3 linked regions of the Diceros bicornis minor genome follow. The protein of the gene in region 3 purifies or fractionates together with the protein of the main gene of each other region. This does not show direct contact. Links are inferred from orthologs where the notes say so. Each region holds a gene or a part of one and is shown on either strand. Other genes may lie near its edges.

Region 1 (7,237 bases), on a different chromosome or scaffold from region 3:
CATGCTGTGGCGGCATGCCATATAAAGTAGAGGAAGATGGGCATGGATGTTAGTCCAGGGCCAATCTTCCTCAGCATTAAACAAAAGGGAGGATTGGCATCGGATATTAGCACAGGGCTGATCTTCCTCACAAAAAAGAAAAAGAAAAAGAAAAAGAAAAAGAAAAAGAGATACATACCACATAATACAAACAACTTTTCCAAAAGTTTAAGCCCAGTTTTCCTCATGACATAACCTGATCTACAATAGTAAGTAATACAACAATGAAAAGACCACTGGTTTCTGAATCAGGAGCCTGGGCTACTCATCTACACTACCTGATGATGAAGCTTTAAATAGTGAGTTAATCTTCCTGGGTCCTAAGTTTCCTGATCTGTAAAAGTAGGAGGTAAGAGTAAAAGCTCTCTAATGTTCTGAAAATTCCAGGAACCTGGATAATAAAAGTTCCGCATCCTAAGCAAATGTGTAAGTAGTACATTAACTATAATTGCTCTGCGTTCAAATTACCTGAAATAAGGCTTGTCAGGAGACATGGTGATCTGCAGGACCTCACTCGTCATATCCAATTCGGAAAATGCTTCACGGAGCCCCTCTGACTGCAGGATAACTTTATTGATGACATTAGTGCTGCAGAAATCAAAATCCAGAGTCTCTTCAGGCTCCTGAGTATTGATTTTACAGACTGTCACCACTCCTCCTTCCTCCAGAAATAGCATCAAAGGGTAACCATAACCTTGGTAACACATCCGAAGTGCAGTAAAAGTCCCTGCGATGGAAATAAATCATACTCTGGGCTTAACTTTACAGCTCTGGGTTCACCTTCTCCTCAAACGATATATAAAAGTCCTCCAGAATATTTTATTCTGCCCAATTTCTAGCATATACGTATGTATCTCCTTATAAGAAGGGTCACATCTTCCCTGATGACACCGTGTGTAGATAATTCCAAAAATAACTGCAAGAAAATTGGGAACCAAAACAAAATGTAATCTTTGAAATCATTTTCCAGCTTGCCAAAAACACCTCAGAAATAGCTTATTGATTTTATATATATACAATTTAGGATAAACAATCTACATGGACCATTACTGCAAGTAATGGAATTGGTGCAGAATAGGCTATGCTACTTCTGGAAGGCTCAATTTGTGCAACAGTCGATTGCTCTGATATTGTCTGTACTTTAATGTCAGTATATTCACCATGATAAGGATCCTTCCAACCTTTTCTATTGGAAGATATTCTTTACATTTCCTCAAATTTTAAGATCAAATTGGGAGAAAAAGAGAGGGTGATTAAGGGTGGTGTGGGTTTTAACATTGCAGACCACTAGAGAGGAGGAGGAATATGACAGGATAGTCTAGATCTTTTCCCTTCCTGGATGGAGAGCTACAGTGACGAATGGGGGAAGAAAGATGCTTTTATGAAAAACTAGTTGGGGAACACTGCATTAGAAAATGTATAATTAATAAGAATGGAATCGTAATATTTTCTAGAGAACAAAAACTGAATTTTCCCTAGCTAATTTCCAGCTTTCTTTCCTATGAAGTAAAATCACTCTCCTGGGGATTCCTTGTAGTTTTATATCAATAGCAACTGAATTCACTATTCAAAAAAATCCCTAAACAAATATATAAATATTTTAAAGGAAAGCATTTAGGAAAATACCTATAATTTATAAACAGGGCTTAAAAAAAAAGCAAACAAATTTTGAACACAGTAAACTGCAAGTCAGGAGAACTGGTTTCAATTTTTCTCTGTCACTAACTGTGTAATTCTGGACAAGTCAGGAAAAAGAAGCAATTTAAAACATATTTCACATTCTTAAAGATATTTACATGTTCAAAGTCTTCTTTTGGTCAGTTTAAATTTAAAAATCCCAAAAGCTTTGTAAATTAAAAAAAGATGAATGTAAATATTTTTGCAAATATGAAAAGAGCCACAAGCACACTTTCTACTAACATTGTGAAAAGTCAGAATCCGTGATTTTGACCAATGAAAAATGAATTGACAATTTTCTAAACAATTGTTTAGATTACTTATTTCCAATAACTTTTCCTGTATTTTTCTGACCATTCTGTATAATGCTTTTATATCATTATAATGATAATAAAATGGTTCACCTGGCGTAGGATTTGATCCAAAAATAGATAAGCAGTCTAAAAGGACAGTTAAATTAATTCGAAAAGTAACAGACTCTTCCTGAACCGTAAACTCTTGAAATATTCCAGCCTATGAAAAAAAGGAAACATGAAAATGTAGTTATAGATATTAAAGAATGAAAACTCAAAGTTCTAGATTTCACTTGATATGTTTTAAAAATAACAATATTGTGCTAACCCTGTGAAAGTCATTTCTGATTACCAGTCAAAACATCTTAAGCCTTTTCAACCATTATCCATTAGAATATGTACTACTACTCAATAGTTAGAGATGTAACAGTGGTTTAGGTCTCATGTAAAACTTTATGAGGGGTCCTTCACCTAGCTTCTCGGATCTCAACCATTGCCCACATGACTCTCCTTTTTGTGCCCATCAGTATGGCTAAGGTCACTTGGTAAATAGCCAAACAATTTGATAACGCATGAGTGATATTAGTTTTCAATTTCTTTTAAGGACAGGAACCATATCTTATTTATCCCTCTATACCCAAGGTCATACTGTGCACTTAAGTATTCAAAAAAATGCTGAATTAAATCTGAAATCCATCTGAACCATACAAATCTTTGTTTGTAAGAACAGATTGTATTATAACCAATAAAAGGAAAAATTTTTTGATAATAGGGAGGTAGTGCTAAAGAGTATATACTCTGGAAACAAATGTTCTGGGTTCTCATCCCAACCCAGTCACTTGCTAGCTGTGAGACTGTTGGCAAATCATTTAATCTGTGCCTAAGTTTCCACATATGCAAAATGGGAATTATAACGGAACCTACCTCATAGGACTATTATTGAGAATTAAATGAGTTAAACATATAAAACACTCAGAAGGGTGCCTGGCCTATAGTTTAGCTTAATACATTTTAGACATAATAACCATTATCTCTGTAAAACAGGATGGGAAATGAATTTGTTACCAGGAGAGAAAAAGATTCAAATGATATATTGTTCTCTAACTTAAATGATGTCCAGTAAGACCTTTGGAATTCATTAAACTGGGTGAAGAATATCATATGTCACAGGCTTACAGGTGCCTCCTTCCATACCTGAATAAAAGCATTTGCTTGCACACACTTTGCATTTTCCACTGTAACCTTGATTCCATTTTTAGTAGCGAAACAGGTGGCATGGTCCCGGAAATGAATAGCCTTCAAGATAGTGGAGAGATTCCTAACGTTGTCAAGGCTGGCCACTAAGCTGTAGTCATTCTCATCTTGGATCTGTTGCGTTAGGAGGGGCATCGTCCACTGTACATTCGGGCCCGAGGGATGCTCCTGGTGCCAACACCTGCTCCCGCAGATCACGAAACACCTGATGAGATTCGACAATAAAACCCCCATGAAGGCTGGCGAGGCCCGCGATTGCAACCTGCGCTGAGGCCAAGTGGGAGAGGTCTGAACGTTGAACTCGGCCGACCAGAGATTGAACCCCACCTCTGCCACCTAACTGCCCCTGTTAACTTTGGGGCAAGTTACTTATCTCTCTAAGCTACAGTGTCCTCGTCTTTAGTAAGGGGACAATAACACATGAAAAGTTGTGAACAATGGAAATAGGCAACTAATACGGTAGTTCTACTTGGGGCCAGTTTCGCCACGCCAAACTGGGGCTACGTATCCCCCCGAGTCGGTTTTGAGCTGTCCGGCGCCCCCAACCTCGCCTCTAACAGAATACGCGATGGGGGGGCGGGCCCCGATTACACAGAAGATCCTCCTTGAGTCCCAGACAACCCTGCTCAAGAGCCCGCTGCAAGGCGGCATGTTTACTGGTCCCGGGATCCCGGGGCACGGAGACCCTACCTTTGCGGTGGAGTCTGGATGCCTGAAAGCCCTTCCGGGCCAGGTCACCGAGAAACCGAGCTCCCGGGAAACCCAGGAGGAAGTGCAGCGCCTCCCGCCACTCTTTTCAGATCGGCCAGCCACCTCGGCCACCGTCACCATAGAGCTAGACGAGGCCTAGAGAGCCGAGCGTACAGCACCACAGAGACCGGAAAGAGACACCATAGAGCTGAAGGACGACCGCAGAGCCGAGCGTACGGTGCCATAGAGATCGGGAAGGGGAGCGAGCGGCAGAGCCGGAAGGAAGGCCCGGAGAGAAGGGCTTGAGGCAAGATGGCGGCGGCCAAGAGGAAGCGGCGTGGAGGCCTGGCGGTTCAGGCGAAGAAGCCAAAAAGAAACGAAAAAGATGCCACGCCGCCAGCTAAGCGGCGCGATATGGCAGAGGAGACGGAGGAGGAAGACAGAGACCGTTTCCCAGGCCCCGTTTGCAAGGTAGAGAGGGCCACCCTCGGGTTACACCTGCGGCCGCGGCTCCACGCGCCTTGCCTGGGGCCCCATGCCTGATTACGGCTCTGCTGATTTCGGAGTTGCCTCAGTGTTAGGGAGCTCGGTCTCAGTTCTCCTAGTTGGATTGGCCCCCGCGTTTACATCCAATCTTCGTGCACGTGGCCGCTTTCCTGGAGGCGGCTGGCTGAGCAACGGGGCGGGCTTCAGAGCGCTTATCGGCTCACAGGGAAGCAACGTAGGGGGTACTCAGTTCCAGTGTTCTGTCTTCTAGTTACCTTTTTTTTTCCTTTTGAGGGCATTACTTTTCCTTAAAGTTATTTCTCGCTATTGGATATATTTCTTCCAGTGATTAGTATCGTCAGTCAGGGATCTTGAAGCTTTGTTAGGCGGTTCTTTAAAAAGTTGCTGTCCTTGGGACAGTGACTTCGGCTTGTTTGAGCAGGTCTTTAACTCTCAAGTGATAATGAAAGCTAGACTAGATAGCACGAGCTCTCGTTGTAGTCAACAAACTTTTAATGTGCCAGGCACTATACGAAGTTAGGTTTGCTCTGGCTCTGGGATTGCAAACTAGAACGTCACCTTTTCCTTCTGAAATGTCGGAGTTTAGAAGGAAGCTAAGAATTCACATAAGTCGATGGTTTTTATTCAAGAGAAGGTGGACGCAAGTTACTGTACCTAAGTTTCATTCAACTGAAAGCACCTTAAGCTAGATCGAATACGGTGGAGACAAGGATGACCTTAATTTGTTAATTTCTGTGTGCCCCGCGCTTGGCATAGTACTGTAGCACATAGTAGATGGTAAATCAATGACCCTGTGTGGTGTGGTGGCAAGCACTAGGAAAGGAGCCAGTTCTGAGGATTGAAAGATGAGTTTAAATTCTAGCCCTGCTGTTAATTAACAGTGATATTTCGAGCTCTTTTCTCATCTGCAAATTAAGAGAAAAACGTGATTTACTTTTTGTGAAGAAGAAGCTGGACTTCTAGTAAATTTTCAGTAAGTGTTAGTGCTCTCACTCTTCCCATAAGGAGTTAGAAAGAAATATGATAGTATCCATGATTTGAGTCTTAATATGAGAAATTCTATGGAAGTGCAGAAGATGGAGATTACTTTTACCCTAGAATAATCAGGTAAGGGATCATGAGGGATTTACCCTTTGAACTGGATCTCAAAGTAAGGGCAGAATTTCGATATTCAGAAATGAGAGAGAACAATACAAGGGAGAGGGAAAAAAAACGAGTAGAATGTGTTGGAGTGGAGGAAGTGCTGACAATCTAAAAAATAGAGCCAGATTGGCTCAAGTGTAGGGTTGATTTGGGGCAATGGCGAGGTAAAAACATAAATGTATTTTAGAATCCATTGTTAAAGCTATGTCATTTTGGAGTTTGTTTAGAAAACCCTGGCAGGTTAAGGATGTGATTGGAGCAGTGCTGTAAAAAGATTAAGCTGGTGCTAGTCTGCCATATCTATTGGAGGAGTTCCTGTTTGGGAAGGCTAGCTATTTAGGAGATTTAAGATTATATGGATCTGAGGGAGGGCACTGCGAGTATGAAAGGATTAAGAGTTGTTGCAAAGAGGGGCCGGCCAGGTGGCGCAGGCGGTTAAGTGTGCGCGCTCTGCTGTGGGGGCCCGGGGTTCGCTGGCCCGGATCCCGGGCGCGCAGCGACGCACCGCTTGGCAAGCTATGCTGTGGTGGCGTCCCATATAAAGTGGAGGAAGATGGGCACAGACGTTAGCCCAGAGCCAGTCTTCCTCAGCAAAAAGGAGGATTATCAGATGTTAGCTCAGGGCTGATCTTCCTCACCAAAAAAAAAAAAAAAGAGTTCTTGCAAAGAGAAATTGACACATTGACACAATGATATGGGAGAACAAGGGCAAATGAAAGATTCAACGCCTGGGGGCCTGAAATGAGGAAATGAGGGTAACATCTTCAGAAAAAGAAATAGTAAACAAATTTACTGGATTTAAGGTTTGGTATTCTAGAATTGAATTTGAGGTGTTAAGTCAAATACTTGGATTATTAGTGCTGGAGGGAGTTCCTTACCTTTCTGTAGAGTTATTTGAAGCTATGGAAATGATTGTGAGAACTGTCCTGGAGAGAACAGAAATAAAAGAAGGCTCAGAAAGAATCTTTAGAGTCAGAAGGAGGAATTGGAGAGATTGAAGAAGAAAAACCAAAAAGGAAGGAAGTCAAGGAGAGCATTTCTGGGTGGCAGCCATGGTCAGTGAATACTACTGAGAGTTTAAAGGGGTCAGGATTGTTTGGCTTGCTACCTGGAGGCTTTTTATGAAGCTATTGTGTCTCTCTGCTTACCTTATATAAAAGGAGTTAATTTTTCCATAGGTGGTGTTATTTCATTAGAACCAAGAGCTATTTTTAGCTTGCTGCTTCTTTAGATAAGGAATCTAAATTTTGTCTATAACATAAGATAAAATGGAGACTTTTAAAAGTTTCCTTCCTTGCGTCATCACATGATATTTTGCCACTTATGTCCTATGTGACAGACATGTTGTGGTTGTCTAAATAAAGGTTTCATGCTGTTCATGCCTCCATGTCTGTATTGATTTGCTTGTTTGTTGACTATCTTCCCACATAAGGACAGTGCCTGGCTCCTGTAGGAACCTAGTAAATATTAAATTAATATTAAAGTTCTGTTGTGCAAGGATTATTGAATGAGTAGTCCATTCTGATTTCAGGAGTGGAAAGATTCTCTGTAGAGTGAAACATCTCAGTTCCCCGAATTACACCATGGGGGAAGAGGCAGAGTTATAGCTATGGTCTTGATACACTAGAGGGTGG
Region 2 (7,369 bases), on a different chromosome or scaffold from region 3:
GTTAGCTCAGGGCCGATCCTCCTCACAAAAAAAAAAAAAAAATAGAGGAAGACTGGCAACAGATGTTAGCTCAGGGCAAGTCTTCCTCAGCAAAAAAATAAATAATGGAGGAGTCTTACTATTTAACTTTGAAAACATTAGATATGTATATATAGTAGTTTCCCCTAATCCATGGGGAATATGTTCCAAGAACATCCGGTGGATGCCTGAACCCACGGATAGTACCAAACCCTATATATACCATGTTTTTTTCCTATAATACATACCTGTGATAAAGTTTAATTAATTAATTAAGGTTTTTTTTTGTGAGGAAGATCAGCCATGAGCTAACATCCATGCTAATCCTCTCTTTGCTGAGGAAGACCGGCTCTGAGCCAACATCTATTGCCAATCTTCCTCCTCTTTTTCTCCAAAGCCCCAGTAGATAGTTGTATGTCATAGTTGCACATCCTTCTAGTTGCTGTATGTGGGACGCAGCCTCAGCATGGCTGGAGAAGCGGTGTGTCGGTGTGCGCCCGGGATCCAAACCTGGGCCGCCAGTAGCGGAGCATGCGCACTTAACTGCCAAGCCACGGGGCCGGCCCAGTTTAATTTATAAATTAGGCACAGTAAGAGATTAGCAACAATAATATTAAAGTTGGCTGTGGGGCCATTATTAAGTAAAATAAGGGTTACTTGAACACAATCACTGTGATACTGTGACAGTCAATCTGATAACCGAGATGACTACTAAGTAACTAATAGGCAGGTAGCCTATACAGCATGGATAAGCTGGACAAAGGAATGATTCACGTCCTGGGACGGACAGAGTGGGACGGTGCAAGATTTCATCATGCTACTCAGAACAGTGTGCAATTTAAAACGTGAATTGTTTATTTCTGGAATTTTCCATTTAATATTTTTGGACCGCAGTTGACTCTGAGTAACTGAAACTTTGGAAAGCAAAACCGCGGATAAGGAGGGGGACTACTGTAGAATGATCTCAATTATGTAAAATTTGTGATTTTAATTGTTTATATATTCTGTATTTTCTAAATTGAGTTTTTATCATTTTTGTATGAGTGAATCAATAAAGGGTAAAGAGTTTTATTTTTTTAAGTTTTATTTATTTATGTTTTTGTGAGGAAGATCAGCCCTGAGCTAACATCCATGCTAATCCTCCTCTTTTTGCTGAGGAAGACCGGCTCTCAGCTAACATCTGTTGCCAATCCTCCTCCTTTTTTGTGTTTCCCCAAAGCCCCAGTAGATAGTTGTATGCCTTAGCTGCACATCCTTCTAGTTGGTGTATGTGGGATGCCGCCTCAGCGTGGCCAGAGAAGTGGTGCATCGCTGTGCGCCCGGGATCCGAACCCGGGCCGCCAGTAGCGGAGCGTGCGCACTTAACAGCTAAGCCACGGGGCCGGCCCAGGGTAAAGAGTTTTAAAAACGTAGACCTTGAAAGGAGAGTAAAGAAGGCAATGCAATGTTGAACTGCTTGGGTTTGGGGGAGCCATCTGTAAGGTTCTTTATAGGTTCTGAGAGGCCCATCAGAAATAAGCAAAGTGAGTGTCAGTTCATCTCCCATTTCCTCTTTATCCCTTGTCCAGCTCTTAGAACAAGCCCTGGTGATTGAGGAACAGCTGCGCCGGGCAGCTTACCTGAACATGTCAGAGGACCCCTCTCACCCTTCCATGGCCCTAAACACCCGCTTTGCTGAGGTGGAGTGTTTGGCGGAGAGTCATCAGCACCTGTCCAAGGAGTCAATGGCAGGAAACAAGCCAGCCAATGCAGTCCTGCACAAAGGTAGCCAGTGGCTCCCCTGCCTCCTGCTGACTCAGCCTCCTTCTTCCTCTACCCCTCCCCAACACATTGGCTTCTTGTTTCCAAACCTTTTTCAGAGCCCCTTTGGGAGTTTAGCCTTCCTCCTTGGGAAGCTAATGTCTTAGAGGCAATCGAGGACAGTAGTTCTTTGCCTCTTTCAACTCTTAATATATTCAAGTTGTTGGAGGTGGAAAGCAAAGCAGAATAATATAGTGTTATCTGGGATACTTCAGAGGTAACTTCAGGTGATTTAAGATCCTGTCAAATTCTAGACCCTTTTCAACATTTTTTTTTCTGATTAAAGTTAAAACATTGTGAGAGAGGTGGAGGGTGAAGTGAGGAAAGGAAGACTGTTATAAAGGAAGAGGGAGACACCTCGAAAAGGTGGAGAAGAAAGATAGAAAAGGAAATAATAGGAATAAGCGTGTCTCAGGAAGTAGAGAAAATAGAGACAGTTGGGAGCAAGGGACAGTGAGGGTTAGGTGACTTTAAGAAGCATAGAAGCATGGCCAGTTGGAACTAGAATGTGAGGAATAGGAATTTGAGCATGGTAGAGGCCAGGTCACGTGACGCAGTGACAAAAGACAATACTTGAGCATTCCAGCACATCAGTCCCTTGGTCAATGAGAAGTGATGGGGGCCAGGGGTCCACTGGTAAGAAGGATCTTGGTCTTGACCACCACAGCTCACCACTTTTTTTTTTTCCTGTGCAGTTCTGAAACAGCTAGAAGAACTGCTGAGTGACATGAAAGCCGATGTGACTCGACTCCCAGCTACTATTGCCCGAATTCCCCCAGTTGCTGTGAGGCTACAGATGTCAGAGCGTAACATTCTTAGCCGCCTGGCAAACCGAGCACCTGAACCTACTCCACAGCAGGTAGGACCGTTTTCTTCTGGCCAGCTGTTCGAGCAGAGCCACTGTTACTTTGCTGTCTGTCCCTAGCTTTACATACTGGACAGGTGGGGCTGTGTCACCACTGAGTTCCCGTAGGATCAGGTGGATTCCTGTGGTCTGGCATTCTGACTCCCTTGGCTCTCTTTTCCTGTAGGTAGCCCAGCAGCAGTGAAGATCAGACTGATGATACCACCTCCACCGCTGAGCAGTGACCTTCCTCACTTTCCCTTGCCCAGCTTCTCACCTGGGGGCCTGAGAGACCCTCTCCTTCCTCCTGCCCCATCTTCCATGTTGTAAAGGAACAGCCCCCAGTGCACTGGGGGAGGGGAGGGAGTGAGGGGCAGTGGTGCCCTTCCTGCTGGAGAGACATGCAGCAGTAGCGCCGGCGCCATCTGCAGGGAGCTGGCGGGCTGGCCGCCTTCTGGGCCCTGGCTTCTCCCTACTGTAACGTCTGTTACACACAAACTGTTGTGGGTCCCGCCAGGCTTGAAGAAAATGATCTGAATTTCTTTCTCCTTTTGGTTTTATTTTGTTGGTTTACTTTGTGTTTCCTTTTCTCCTTTTTTGGGGTATTCAGAGTGGGCCGGGCCCCTGGGCGAGACACAGCTACCTCTGTTGGCATCTTTTTAATACCAGGAACCCAGCGGCTCCAGCCACTGAGCAGCTAGAATAAAATAAAGTGAAAAAAAAAAAAAAAGGAAAAGAACCAAAAGCGTAAAAAACCACAGCAAATTTCTTGATGAAAACTGAAAATAAAAGTTTCCTTGTATTTTAGTGCTCTGGTTCGGTGTGGGTGTAGGTTCAGGTGGATGAGTGTGCATGACAGGAGCCCTGGGAAATGTGCAGCTGAGAACCAGGGGCTACTTGTGTTCTAATAGTCCACAAGAGACCGTGTCACGTCTGCACGTGCCCGCTGTGCTCTGGACCAAGGATGACCAGCATCTGGGGGAATGAGCGGCTCCCACACCACCCGGGCTCGTGCCCTGTACTACCGGCCAACGGCTCTGTACCGTTGAGGAAGTGAACTCTGGGCTGTGGATTTCTCATGTATAAAATAAAGCTATCTTCCTCATAGAGTTGTGAAGATAAAACCAGTAAAGTGCTTGGAACAGTTTCTAACAGCTACTAAGCACTGTTAGTATTTATTTGAAGGAAGGCTGAAGTTTTATCTAGTTGTGTGAAACTAGGATGTGAGGTGTCTTCCGACCTCCAGCTGTGCACCTAGGCAGAGAGGAACCCTACCCGACGGGCAGAGCGGTGGTCTGGGTCAAAGAGGGCTTCCCAATTGAAGGGATCGGGGTGGGAGAGCGGCGTGGGATTCCAGGACTCCGAGACTGGGCGGAGCGCGGACACTGCCAAGAGGAGGGCCCCGATCTCACGCCTTGGTTTGAGGGGAGGGGCGGCTCTCAGGTTCCAGTTACTCCGATTGAAATCTGCAGTGAGGCGAAAAGCCAACGCCTTGAGGGAGGAGCAGGGAAGCGCAAAACGGTTCCGTCCCGGTTCCTTTCGCCGCCCTCTGCGACTGTGAACGGAGCGGTCCGTCTCCAAATCTTCCCCGGCCGCGCTGCCGACAGCCCCGCGCGCGTTCCGGGTTCCGCGCCCGACCAGAAGCGGCCGGAAGAGGCGGGGCCACCAGTGAAGCGAGCTCTGCGCGCCTGCGCGAAGCGTTTCCGTGGAGTGCGGCGCCCGAACGCTAGCCTCGCGGTGCACGTGGAGTGCTGCCCCGCGTACCCAGGAGGCGTCTGGGGCCTGGACCCGCCTTCGGGTGAGCCGAGGCTTCGGGTGGTTCTGGAGGAAGTCGGGGAAGGAAGGGTGACTGCACTGACCTGGACTGGGGCGTGGGGAGGGACGCAGGGTCCGGGGCTCCGCGTGGAGGGGGTTTGGTTAGGCCTCGAGGGCTGGTTGACCGGATGCGCTTTCCCACCGTAATGCGCTAAGTCTGCGGTGTGCCTTTCCCTTTCCAACACGCGCGACTCTGCTCCCATTTTTCGTTTCCCCAGTACCATGGGGCGCAAGTTGGACCCTACGAAGGAGAAGCGCGGGCCGGGCCGAAAGGCCCGGAAGCAGAAAGGTGCCGAGACTGAACTCGCCAGATTCTTGCCTGCAGGTAAGGGTCAGGCCTGCCTCCTCCCCATTCTCCAGCTTTTGTGCCATCTTTTCATCTGTATGATAACCCCGTCCGTTCTTTAGTTTTTGTTCACCTTCTGCTCAAGTGGAATTTCGTTTGTATGAGTTATTAGGAAATAGGCGTGAATGAAACACTCACTGTCATCAGCCAGAACTTAGGGAAGATGTGACAGGGACACAAGAACCCATGCAAGGAGAGGCCCGCTTTAACATTGAGGGAGTTCAGAGGAAGGGGGATCCCATGCAGTTAGAGAATTTAAAAAGATTTTGTTATGAAGTTAGGTTTTGAAAAATGGCTGACATTTTAGCAAGTGGAAGTTGGGAAGGGGACTCCAGGCCAGTCGCTGTGAGCTGCATTGTGGAGGGGATGGAGGTGGGAAAGCACAGAGCTGGTTCCCACATGGTGAGTAGGCTACTGCTTGGAACACTGGGTAAGAGAGAAGCATGGACAGGTAGTTTGTGTTGGGCATTGGACAAAAGATGCAGTTTATTGCAGTACTAACCTGTGCTAGGCACTATACCGGACTCTTTGGACACATCATATCACTTCATTCTCTTAGTTTCCTGTGGGAGAGGCACTGTTAAGGCAACGGATGTTGAGAGGTTAAATGACCTGCATATAGTTATTAAGTGACAGGGCTGAGATTTAAACCTTTTATTTCTTGGAGAATGTTTGAAAAACAGCAATCATAAAGGTAAAATCTACTGTGGCTAGTGACTGATTAAATTGAGAGTAAAGGAAAAGGCAGAAGAAAAGATAAATTTTGAGTCTGTGTTATCAGAATGGTGATGATGCTATTTATTGCAATCAGAAGTGTGGAGGTGGGGCCGGTCGGTGGCGAAGCGGTTAAGTTCCCGTGCTTTGGCAGCCCAGGGTTCGCCGGTTTGGATCCTGGGCATGGACCTAGGCACCGCTCATCAAACCATGCTGAGGCAGAGTCCCACATAGAACAACTAGAAGGATGTACAACTGTGACGTACAACTACCTATTGGGGCTTTGGGGAGAAAAAAGGAAAAAAGGAAGAAGATGGGCAATAGATGTTAGCTCAGGGCCAGCCTTCGTCAAAGAAAAAAAAAAAAGTAGTCTGGAAGGAGGCCCAATTTGGATTTGGTTGGTGAACAACCAGATGGAGATCATCTCCTTTACATCTCTTATCCAGCTCCTGGTAAAACACTGTGGAGTGAGTTGCAGTCTACTCCCTTTAATTACTGTACTTATTTCTCCCCACTTTTATTTTCTCTCCTGTTGCTCTTTTTCATTTCACCTGTAACCTCCTGTTCTGCCTCTTTTTTATGTTTTAACAGCTGGTGATGAAAATTCCAAGAGGCTGTCTAGTCGTGCTCGGAAGAGGTGAGTGAGGATGTCTAGACTTATATCGAGTCAACTGGTGCTGCTCTTCCTAAGCCACATGAATCCATGTGATCATGTTGATGGAAAGGGCTGTTTGGGGACTGTCATGTTTCCCTGTCATGAGAAATGGCAGAGCTTGGAGATATGTTCCATTTTCTCACTCCTTGTATCTTTTCAGAGCAGTCAAGAGGAAGTTGGGCTCTGCTGAAGTCCCTAAGATGAATAAGTCTTCTGGGATCAAACCATTGCCTGGAAAGCTACCAAAAGGTCAGTGAAAATAGGAGCTGGGTGCTACATGAGGAACCCTCTGGGTCCTGGGTAGAGAAGGGCCTGCTAAATGAAAGGAACAGCCAAAGGACTTTCTTGGGGGTAGAAAATACAGGCTCTATCAGTGTGTGACTGCCATCAGTCCAGAATTCTTCAAACCTTTAGGGATCTTTGCAAGAGCTGTCCAGACACCTGGTAAGAAGGGAGCCCAGTCCTTATTAAATACTGCTCAAGGCAAGAAGCGCCCAGCACCAACCCATAGCAGTGAGGAGGAAGAGGAGGAGGAAGACTCTGAAGAGGATGGTGTGGTGAACCAGGGGGACCTCTGGGGCTCCGAGGACAGCGACGCTGATATGATAGATGACTGTGGAGCTGACTCCAACTCAGAGGATGACAATGAGGATGAAGGTGAAGAGGTGAGATTTATCTGTTCAGGAAGGAAGCCTTGCCTTTTAGTCTTTCCAGATCCTTGAGACTATGCCTCAGTGACAAGGATAAGCCTGAGTAGAGAAGATATTTTAGTGTTCCATCACTGCTTTCCTATCATCTTATGGCCTCTCAGTGTACATGCAAGTTTAAAAGAGCTGTAGAATAGAGCATTTTAAAATATGAGAATGCTCAGTGCTGGTGAGGATGTGGTAAGGTGGACACTTGTATGCCCCACTGATGGGAATAGAAATGCACACACGTGTTTTATAAAGCATTTGGCGTCTGAGGACCTTGAAAAGTTTCTTCTTTTTAACCTAGTAATTCTTTTTTTTTTTTTTTTTTAATGAGGAAGATCAGCCCTGAGCTAACATCTATTGCCAATCCTCCTCCTCCTTTTTTTTTCCCCCCTCTTCTCCCCAAAGCCGCAGTAGATAGTTGTGTGTCATAGCTGCACATCCTTCTAGTTGCTGTATGTGGGACGCCACTTCAGCATGGCCGG
Region 3 (7,123 bases):
TACCTGGAGAAGGATTCAAGGAATTAGAGAAGCTAGAATTGCCAGCCCACCAACTGCATAACCCTGCTTCACCTCTTCCCATCAAGTGCAATCAGGGGAAGTTATGGTGGGTCAGGAAATACAGCAGGTTTGGATATACACGGTAATATTCCTCAATCCCCCATTTTTGCATTCCCCGTGACGCACCGCTTCCCCAATGAGGGCTGACAGGCTGGGGGCTACTTGGCTCATCTTGGATCGCAGGTAAGTGTGTAGGCTCTGGCGGTACTCTGACAAAGACACCACACGACTGGAGAAGCTCTCGATGTTTATCAAGTCAATGGCCGATATGTCCATGCCTAAGGGACACCAAGTGTGAATGCAGGAGTCAGATACTCAGAGCCCCATACCTTATTTTGGCTGCCAGACCCTATACTGACCCATGGAGGACCGTGAGGCATCCAGAATAGCCTTAGCTTTGGCCCCATCCATTGTCAGCTCCTCCAGCTTCTCCAGCTTTTCTTCATTCAACTCCCTTCGGTTTCCAATGAACTGAGCAAGGCGGCAGTACGTAGCATTGTCATTGATGATCTTCACCAGCTCAGGAAAGTGATACCCATACCACTCCCTGCAGAGAACCACAATCACTCCCTGGCTCAGCTGCCATCTCAAATAAAGCTACAGCCTTAGCCCTCTCCACATCTACTCTTTGCCTGGAGGAAATGGGGAAGAAGTCAAGATTCAAAACCTCAACTCCTTGTCCCCCCATTCACAATACAGACCAAGCAAAGGGCCTGGGCTGAGGTGTATATGGGGTGGGTTCACTCTGCCTCCTCTTTCTATACAGTCAGTGTAAGAACACAGCCTGTGGTAAGCATCAGGAGGCCCAGCCCCACCCCACATGGTTACACCCACAGGAGCCAGTCCTGATCTCAGGATTCCAAATTAGCTAAACCACAAGCCAAAGACCCCATTCTCAGGAGGTGCCCCTGCACTTTACCTGACACGCATGGAGAAGGTATTGATGTCCTTATCCAATTGGTCCAGGAGACTAATGGACTGGATAATCATATTGTCCACCCGGTTCACATTAAACTTAACTTTGGCACGAGAATAGCTGTGTCCCAGGCCCAGCTGGGCTTTACAAGCAGACACATCAGTCAGACCCTTCACCAGGTTGTGGAAGTGCAGACGAACTCCTGGAGGAGGGCAAGACTGTGAGCAAAAAAGGGCTCTCAGCTAGCTTCTGCACCCACGGGCACCAGCCAAGCAGGAGGGCTTCCCAGAAGCAACCATAAGCACCCTAAAATAAATTTCCAGAACCCCCCTCAAAGATGTGAACAATGGCATGAATGCTAACAGATGACGGTCTCACCTCGCAGGATCTCGGCTATCACGCCTCCAGTCTGGCAGTTGTATCCTAACTCTTCTTGTATAGCAGCACCAATCTTGGGGTCCCCAACCCCCAAGAGAACTTTCTTCTTTTTGGATGGTAGGTGAGTCTCCAAGAGCAGGCGGAGATCCTCATGAACAACACCTCAGGGCAAAGAACAGAGCTCCCACTACCAAGCTGAAGGATGCTTGAATCATAAAAGGGATCCTGTCCCCTCAATTGATTTAAGTGACAGACTGATCCTACAGTAGTCTCCCAGAGCATGCTGGGATGGCCTGCCTAGACCCCTCCCCTTCAGGCTTTGCTCAGAGACATGGAGACATCAGTGATTGCACTCAGGGGATTGACAGACTCAAGTCATCACTGCAAAGCCTTCATCAACTATGGGAGGAACAGGACTCAGGTTCAACAGCTCAGTGAAATACATAACTGAAAGCTTAAAACACCCTGGAGCACTATGAAAGTAATACCTGATTTGCCTTCTGGGACCAACCTCTTTTTCTTGGCTTTTATGTATCAGAATTGCCCTTTCCAATCAACTGAACAAAGTAGCAGAAAACCACAGTTGATTGGGTTTAGCATTAAACCAGCCTCACTTACCAGATTTCATTTAAGTATCATTTATCACTACAGCGCCCACAGGGAAATAAAGCCTTCACCCTGGATTGTGCGCTTTAATTATTACATTTAGCCTACCATATTCCCCAGACCTTGAGCTCTGTGAAGATTCAAATACATTCTGTACACATTAAATACCGCCCAGCACATGTCAGATTTAGAACAATCCAGCCAAGGAAAGCAAATATCATCACAAGCTCCCCTAGGAAAACAGTAGCAGGATCCCTTATCTTGACTTTATCTCCGAAACAATACTTGGTGGTGGCCTACTCACCTTCAGACACAGCGTTGGCATTTTCCAAGGCAACCTGGGATGAGGCAAAGGGACAAAAGGCCACGAGACGAACGATGTTGTGGAACTTGCCCAAGTTGAGCACGCACTCCTCCACCTGGGGGGAGAAAGGATGAATGGTCTCCTTCCCTCGCTGTTGCCTCTAGGGCGCAGTAAAGCAGCGGTTCTCAGCCTTGAACGCACATCAGAACCAACGGAACTCTTTAAAAATGAACCGATCATGGGCCCTAAGTCCCGGTTCTGCTTCATCGGTACGGAGTGGAGTTGGGGAGACTTACTTCTAAGCGCTCCTAACGAGATTCTAATCACGACTGCAGCTAACTACCCCCTGCTCTGGAGTTGTCTGGCCCAGAGCACCCACAACGCGCGGCCAGCCACGTGGGAGCGCGCGGTGCATGCTGGGGTACCCGCGGCCGGAGGGGCTGCAGCGCGGACGGCGAGGCCCCCACTTCACCCACCTGCGGCAACAGCAGGCTGATCTCCTCCACCTCCTTCAGTGCCAGCAGCGCGTAGCCGACCGCGTGCTCGAACAGCACGTGCAGCAGTACCTGGAACCGGAGCCGGGGCGCGAGCGTCAGCGCGGCCTCCCCGTTCACCTGGCCCCGCTCGCAGGGTAGGACCCGGCCCTGGCCCGCAACCAGGCCCGCACCGCGGCCTTCGCCTCCCCCAAAACGCGCAACCACTCCTCACCATGGCGCCTGCTCCTGGCCCGGCTCGCAATGCGGCGAGCGGGCTCTGGCGCGCGGAACCAGGCTCCGTAGGCCACGCCCCCGCGCCGTCGGCCAATCAGAGGCCGGGGGCGATACCTTTCCGGGCCTTCGGAGGGGGAATCCGCCGGGGTGGTATGGCCCGGAGCGGGGGTGGCGGGCGCGCGGGCTGGCCTCTTCCGGCCTCTGCTGCGGCGTGGGCGCGCTTACCGGGGACGCGCGGGACTGGTCTCTTCCTGCAGGCCGCAGAATGGTTTGGAAAGGCGCTTTTCTGAATAATAGTCCAATCCCTCATGTTTTCGTCATATAAATTACGGGCAGCAGAGCTCGGTGACACCCGGGCGGGAGGCCCCGCGCTGGCCGCGGCGACCATCCCCCGGCAGAAACTGTTGCCCACCCGGCTTTCCGCAGAGCTGTGACCTGGGGCCCCAGACCCCTCCATCCTCCCCACGCTCCCGGAACCCCTTTGTCCCCGCTTCCCAGTCGGGGACGACCCTCCCAGGAGCCCTGTGGCCGCGCGCTTTTTCTTCCTCTCTGGGACGGAAGCGGAGCCTGGGGCGCTCTGGCGCAGACCCTGAGGAATCGTGACTCTTGGTGGCTGGCTTCGTACTGTTACATTGTATTTTACTTATTTTTAAAACTGAGGGTGGCCGGAGACAAAGTAGAAAAGGAAGACGATCCCGCCTCCTCCCAGGTCGGTTTCTCGTTCCCCTGCTTCAGCAGAACCCAGCTCCTTTGCGGGGCCACGTGTTGCTCGCCTCTTAACACCCAGTTGGCTCCGAATGGATCGGAGCTGCTTCCATGTCCTAGAGGGAGGCTTTTGGGCACTCAGGCGACTATTTTGAAATTACCTTTGCAAATCCAAAACTTGGTTATCCTAAAGTAGTATACATGCTGGTAAATTAAAGTCATTTTAAGGGGGTGGTTTTAAACTTAAATTCCCATAACTGAAGTGCATTTATAAATTTAATATATTTTATTTTCTTAAGCAATTAAGTTACTTGACAAACAAAATCCAAGTACTGAGCTCACTTTTAAAACATAATATCTTAAAAAAGATGGTTGGTAAATCTTAAACGCATAATCTGAGTATTGCTTACAAATGTGGTTACATTCTGTTACATATATCCACTTATAACCTTGAGTCTGAATCAGTTACTCCACATTTTAAAATTGAATTGCAAAACTAATCTATTATATACATCAGTATGTTAAATTCTGTTTTATAAATACCAAATTAGGTGATTCCAAAATGTAATGGAAAATATTAATGCTGTGACTTTGATTTACTTCATTATTTCTATACTTAATCTTAAATATTCCTGGGATTACAGGGGCTTATCTACTAAGATAGCAGTTTTCAAAGGAGAAGTTGGAGTCTATTAATGGCTTGTAGAGTGACTTTAGACATTCTTGGCTGGCATTAAAAACATAGGATGAAAGAGAATAGGAAATAATAATATGTCACATAGAGTGAGGAGGGGTATTGATTTGTGAAACTTTTGTCTCAGCCAAACTTACATATGTATACATGTATGTATAAATATACACATGTATACATGGAGAAATATGGATACAAATATATGTAGTATATAAGTAAATTATGTAAATGCAGATTTTTGTGGATTAAATACAAAAAGCCTGAGAGTCACCACAGTGGTACTTTGAGTAGATTTGAGTCTTCTGGTTATAAAGGAGCTGTGCTGAAGCAGTTTGCTAGCTTAGAGGGGTGGCCGAAGAAAAGTGCACTTCAGTTAGTGAGATACAAACACTTATGATTAGATAGGGACATGGTGTAAACACTAAAAATATTCCTTTGGCTTCCTCACCTCCATCTCTTGACTAAACTGTCTCCCCGATACTTCATAATCCTGCCTGCCCAGAATGGGCCATCTGTAGTGCGTCGTGTTAGAGACCATATCTTCCTTCTTTTTGGCCTATTTGCTAGGTTCACTTTTCCTGCCTAGGTTCAGGTCTTGACCACCACCACCACCACCATCCTACCTAATTCAGGACTTTTGCAAAACCTTTGGTTTCCCCTTCTCCAAAACACCTTTCTCTCCACTGCCAGAATGATCTCTCTAAGGCAGAGTATCTAGTCATGTTCTATTTGTGGGTGTTCATCGTGGCATGAAGTAATGGGAAGATTAAGGGCTTGGTGTCCCAGGATCACCTGCGGTAGCTAGTCTCCAAAGATGACCACCAATGACCCCTTCCTCCTGGTATTAGGTCCTTGTATAGTCTCCTCCCACAATGAACTGGGCTGGGCCTGTGACTCTTTTTTGCCAATAGAACGCGACAGAAGTGATTCTGTGCCATTTCCAGGCCTCAGCCTTTTGCATTCTTGGGAGCCCTCGAGTTGCCTTATAAGAAGTTCAGCTACTCTGCTGGACAGACCACATAGAGAAGGAAAGGCCCTGAGACTTGATGGAGAGGTCCGGCTTTCCAGCTGTCCCTGTCAAGAAAGAAGACCTGGGTAAAGGCATTTTGTGTGTTCCAGCCCTTGCCACCATCGGACTACAGCCACATGAGTGACCCCAAATAAGACTAGCAGAAGAACCACCTAGTTGAGCCCCATCTACCCACAGCATTGTGAGAAATATAAATATTGTGGTTTTAAGTCACTAAATTTCAGGATGATTTGTTAAGCAGTGGTAAACATGAATCAGAGTCAGCAAACCTGGGTTCAGGTGACCTTAAGTTAATCACCTAATCTTCCTGAGCTTTCATTTCTTCTGCAGAATGAAGAGTGAGGATTCTTCATCTCTGCAACAAACATTTTATTGAACATCTACCAGGTGTGACACAGGTGTGGTACCTGGCATGTAGTAGGAACTCAACAAATGTTAGTGGTCTTTCATCTTGTTCTTTTGTCCCCTTTATCAATAAGTAGCACAACAACATTTCATTTTACCTATTCTCGGTTTCGTTCCAGTTCTCCTATCACCTCCCATAGAACCTACTAGAACCCCAATTTGATACACCCAGCTACCCTGATTCATTTCTATCACTTTAGCCATTAACTTACACATGTAGGCAGATCGTCTCTAAACACAGCTTAGTTTCACATGGTAAAACAGTTGTGCATTCCACTTTTCAATTTCCAGTGGCAGTAGATCGACAGTTTACTGTCACCCTGATTTAATGTTGGAACCTGGAAAATATACTCAGTGTGTAAACTTGACAGTTATTGGTATCTCAGTTGTTTCTGTTTTAAACAATGTTGCTAAGTCTTTTAGATTTCCTCTGTCTTCTTCTGCTCTTTTCAAAATGGCACCAGGGTTTATGTGAGAGCGCTCTCACAGCCTAGTTGTAGGGGGAAGGGGCGGGGGGATATCTCGGGTCTTTGTGCTCAGGTTCTAGTGCTGTGTCTGGGACCCCATTAATCTCTGCTGTAACATGGCTGCTTTGGACTGGTCCCTAGGCCTGTGCACTGTATCCTCAGACTTGCTGATCTCAGCCAGATGCTCAAAATCACTGACATCTCAGTCTCCTTACTTCAGGTGTCTACTGGTTCCATGCCATGTGGCACCCATGTGTTTCCTCATTGAGGCATACATGGTGTGCCTCAATGGTGCATACATAATCTTTGTGATCACCTGCCTGCCATATATAGGCTGGGAGGACCAGGCTCATTACCAGAGGGACTTTTGATCTCACACTTCCCTCATGAATACTATGCTGTATTGACCATTGCATTGGGTGGAGTGTGGGACCTCTACAGCAGTGGTCAGCAAACTGTGACCCATGGGCCAAATCTGGCCTGTGGCTTATTTTTGTAGGGCCCAAGAGCTAAGAATGATTTCTACATTTTTAAAGGGTTGTAGAAAAATAATATGTGACAGAGTAAATAACAGTCTAAAATATTTACTAGACCCTTTACAGAAAAAGATTGTCAGTGTCTGTTTTCGAGGCATGCAGCTTCATCTGTGCCATGGTCAGGGGAGCAGGGCAGAAATGAACAGATATGATACTTGTAGAAATAAAAAACTCATTGTTGAAATTTAGAAGAAATGCAATGACTCATTAGCAAATTAGGCAAGGCTGAAGAGAATATTAGTGAACTGGAAGATATAATGAAATAATTTATCCAGAATGCAACAAAGAGAGGTAAAAAGGTGAAAGAGCAATTAA

Evidence for each region. The genes of interacting proteins can lie anywhere in the genome.
Region 1: the proteins of NOP56 (region 3) and BRIX1 purify together in Homo sapiens (affinity purification with mass spectrometry; 3 studies listed by BioGRID and IntAct, with this or other methods). This does not show direct contact. The link is inferred for Diceros bicornis minor from reciprocal best matches to the Homo sapiens genes NOP56 and BRIX1.
Region 2: the proteins of NOP56 (region 3) and NOP2 fractionate together in Homo sapiens (co-fractionation; 3 studies listed by BioGRID and IntAct, with this or other methods). This does not show direct contact. The link is inferred for Diceros bicornis minor from reciprocal best matches to the Homo sapiens genes NOP56 and NOP2.

Annotation. Positions count from the first base shown.
Region 1 is NC_080759.1:34,114,022-34,121,258, reverse strand, and holds the start of BRIX1 (ribosome biogenesis protein BRX1 homolog), read left to right. Parts: upstream 1-4,222; 5' UTR 4,223-4,265; coding exon 4,266-4,424; intron 4,425-4,451; exon of another isoform or gene 4,452-4,541; intron 4,542-7,237. Other genes in the region: cell cycle checkpoint protein RAD1, read right to left, coding at 508-766, 2,121-2,229, 3,204-3,398. UniProt on the Homo sapiens protein: Required for biogenesis of the 60S ribosomal subunit.
Region 2 is NC_080756.1:55,119,305-55,126,673, forward strand, and holds the start of NOP2 (probable 28S rRNA (cytosine(4447)-C(5))-methyltransferase), read left to right. Parts: upstream 1-4,354; 5' UTR 4,355-4,460; intron 4,461-4,695; 5' UTR 4,696-4,699; coding exon 4,700-4,802; intron 4,803-6,128; coding exon 6,129-6,174; intron 6,175-6,352; coding exon 6,353-6,441; intron 6,442-6,606; coding exon 6,607-6,857; intron 6,858-7,369. Other genes in the region: CHD4 (chromodomain-helicase-DNA-binding protein 4), read left to right, coding at 1,587-1,782, 2,514-2,677, 2,850-2,867. UniProt on the Homo sapiens protein: S-adenosyl-L-methionine-dependent methyltransferase that specifically methylates the C(5) position of cytosine 4447 in 28S rRNA. Required for efficient rRNA processing and 60S ribosomal subunit biogenesis.
Region 3 is NC_080758.1:31,200,181-31,207,303, reverse strand, and holds the start of NOP56 (nucleolar protein 56), read right to left. Parts: upstream 3,016-7,123; 5' UTR 2,976-3,015; coding exon 2,973-2,975; intron 2,831-2,972; coding exon 2,741-2,830; intron 2,380-2,740; coding exon 2,265-2,379; intron 1,742-2,264; exon of another isoform or gene 1,674-1,741; intron 1,517-1,673; coding exon 1,355-1,516; intron 1,179-1,354; coding exon 980-1,178; intron 867-979; exon of another isoform or gene 735-866; intron 608-734; coding exon 420-607; intron 339-419; coding exon 187-338; intron 4-186; coding exon 1-3. UniProt on the Homo sapiens protein: Involved in the early to middle stages of 60S ribosomal subunit biogenesis. Required for the biogenesis of box C/D snoRNAs such U3, U8 and U14 snoRNAs. Part of the small subunit (SSU) processome, first precursor of the small eukaryotic ribosomal subunit.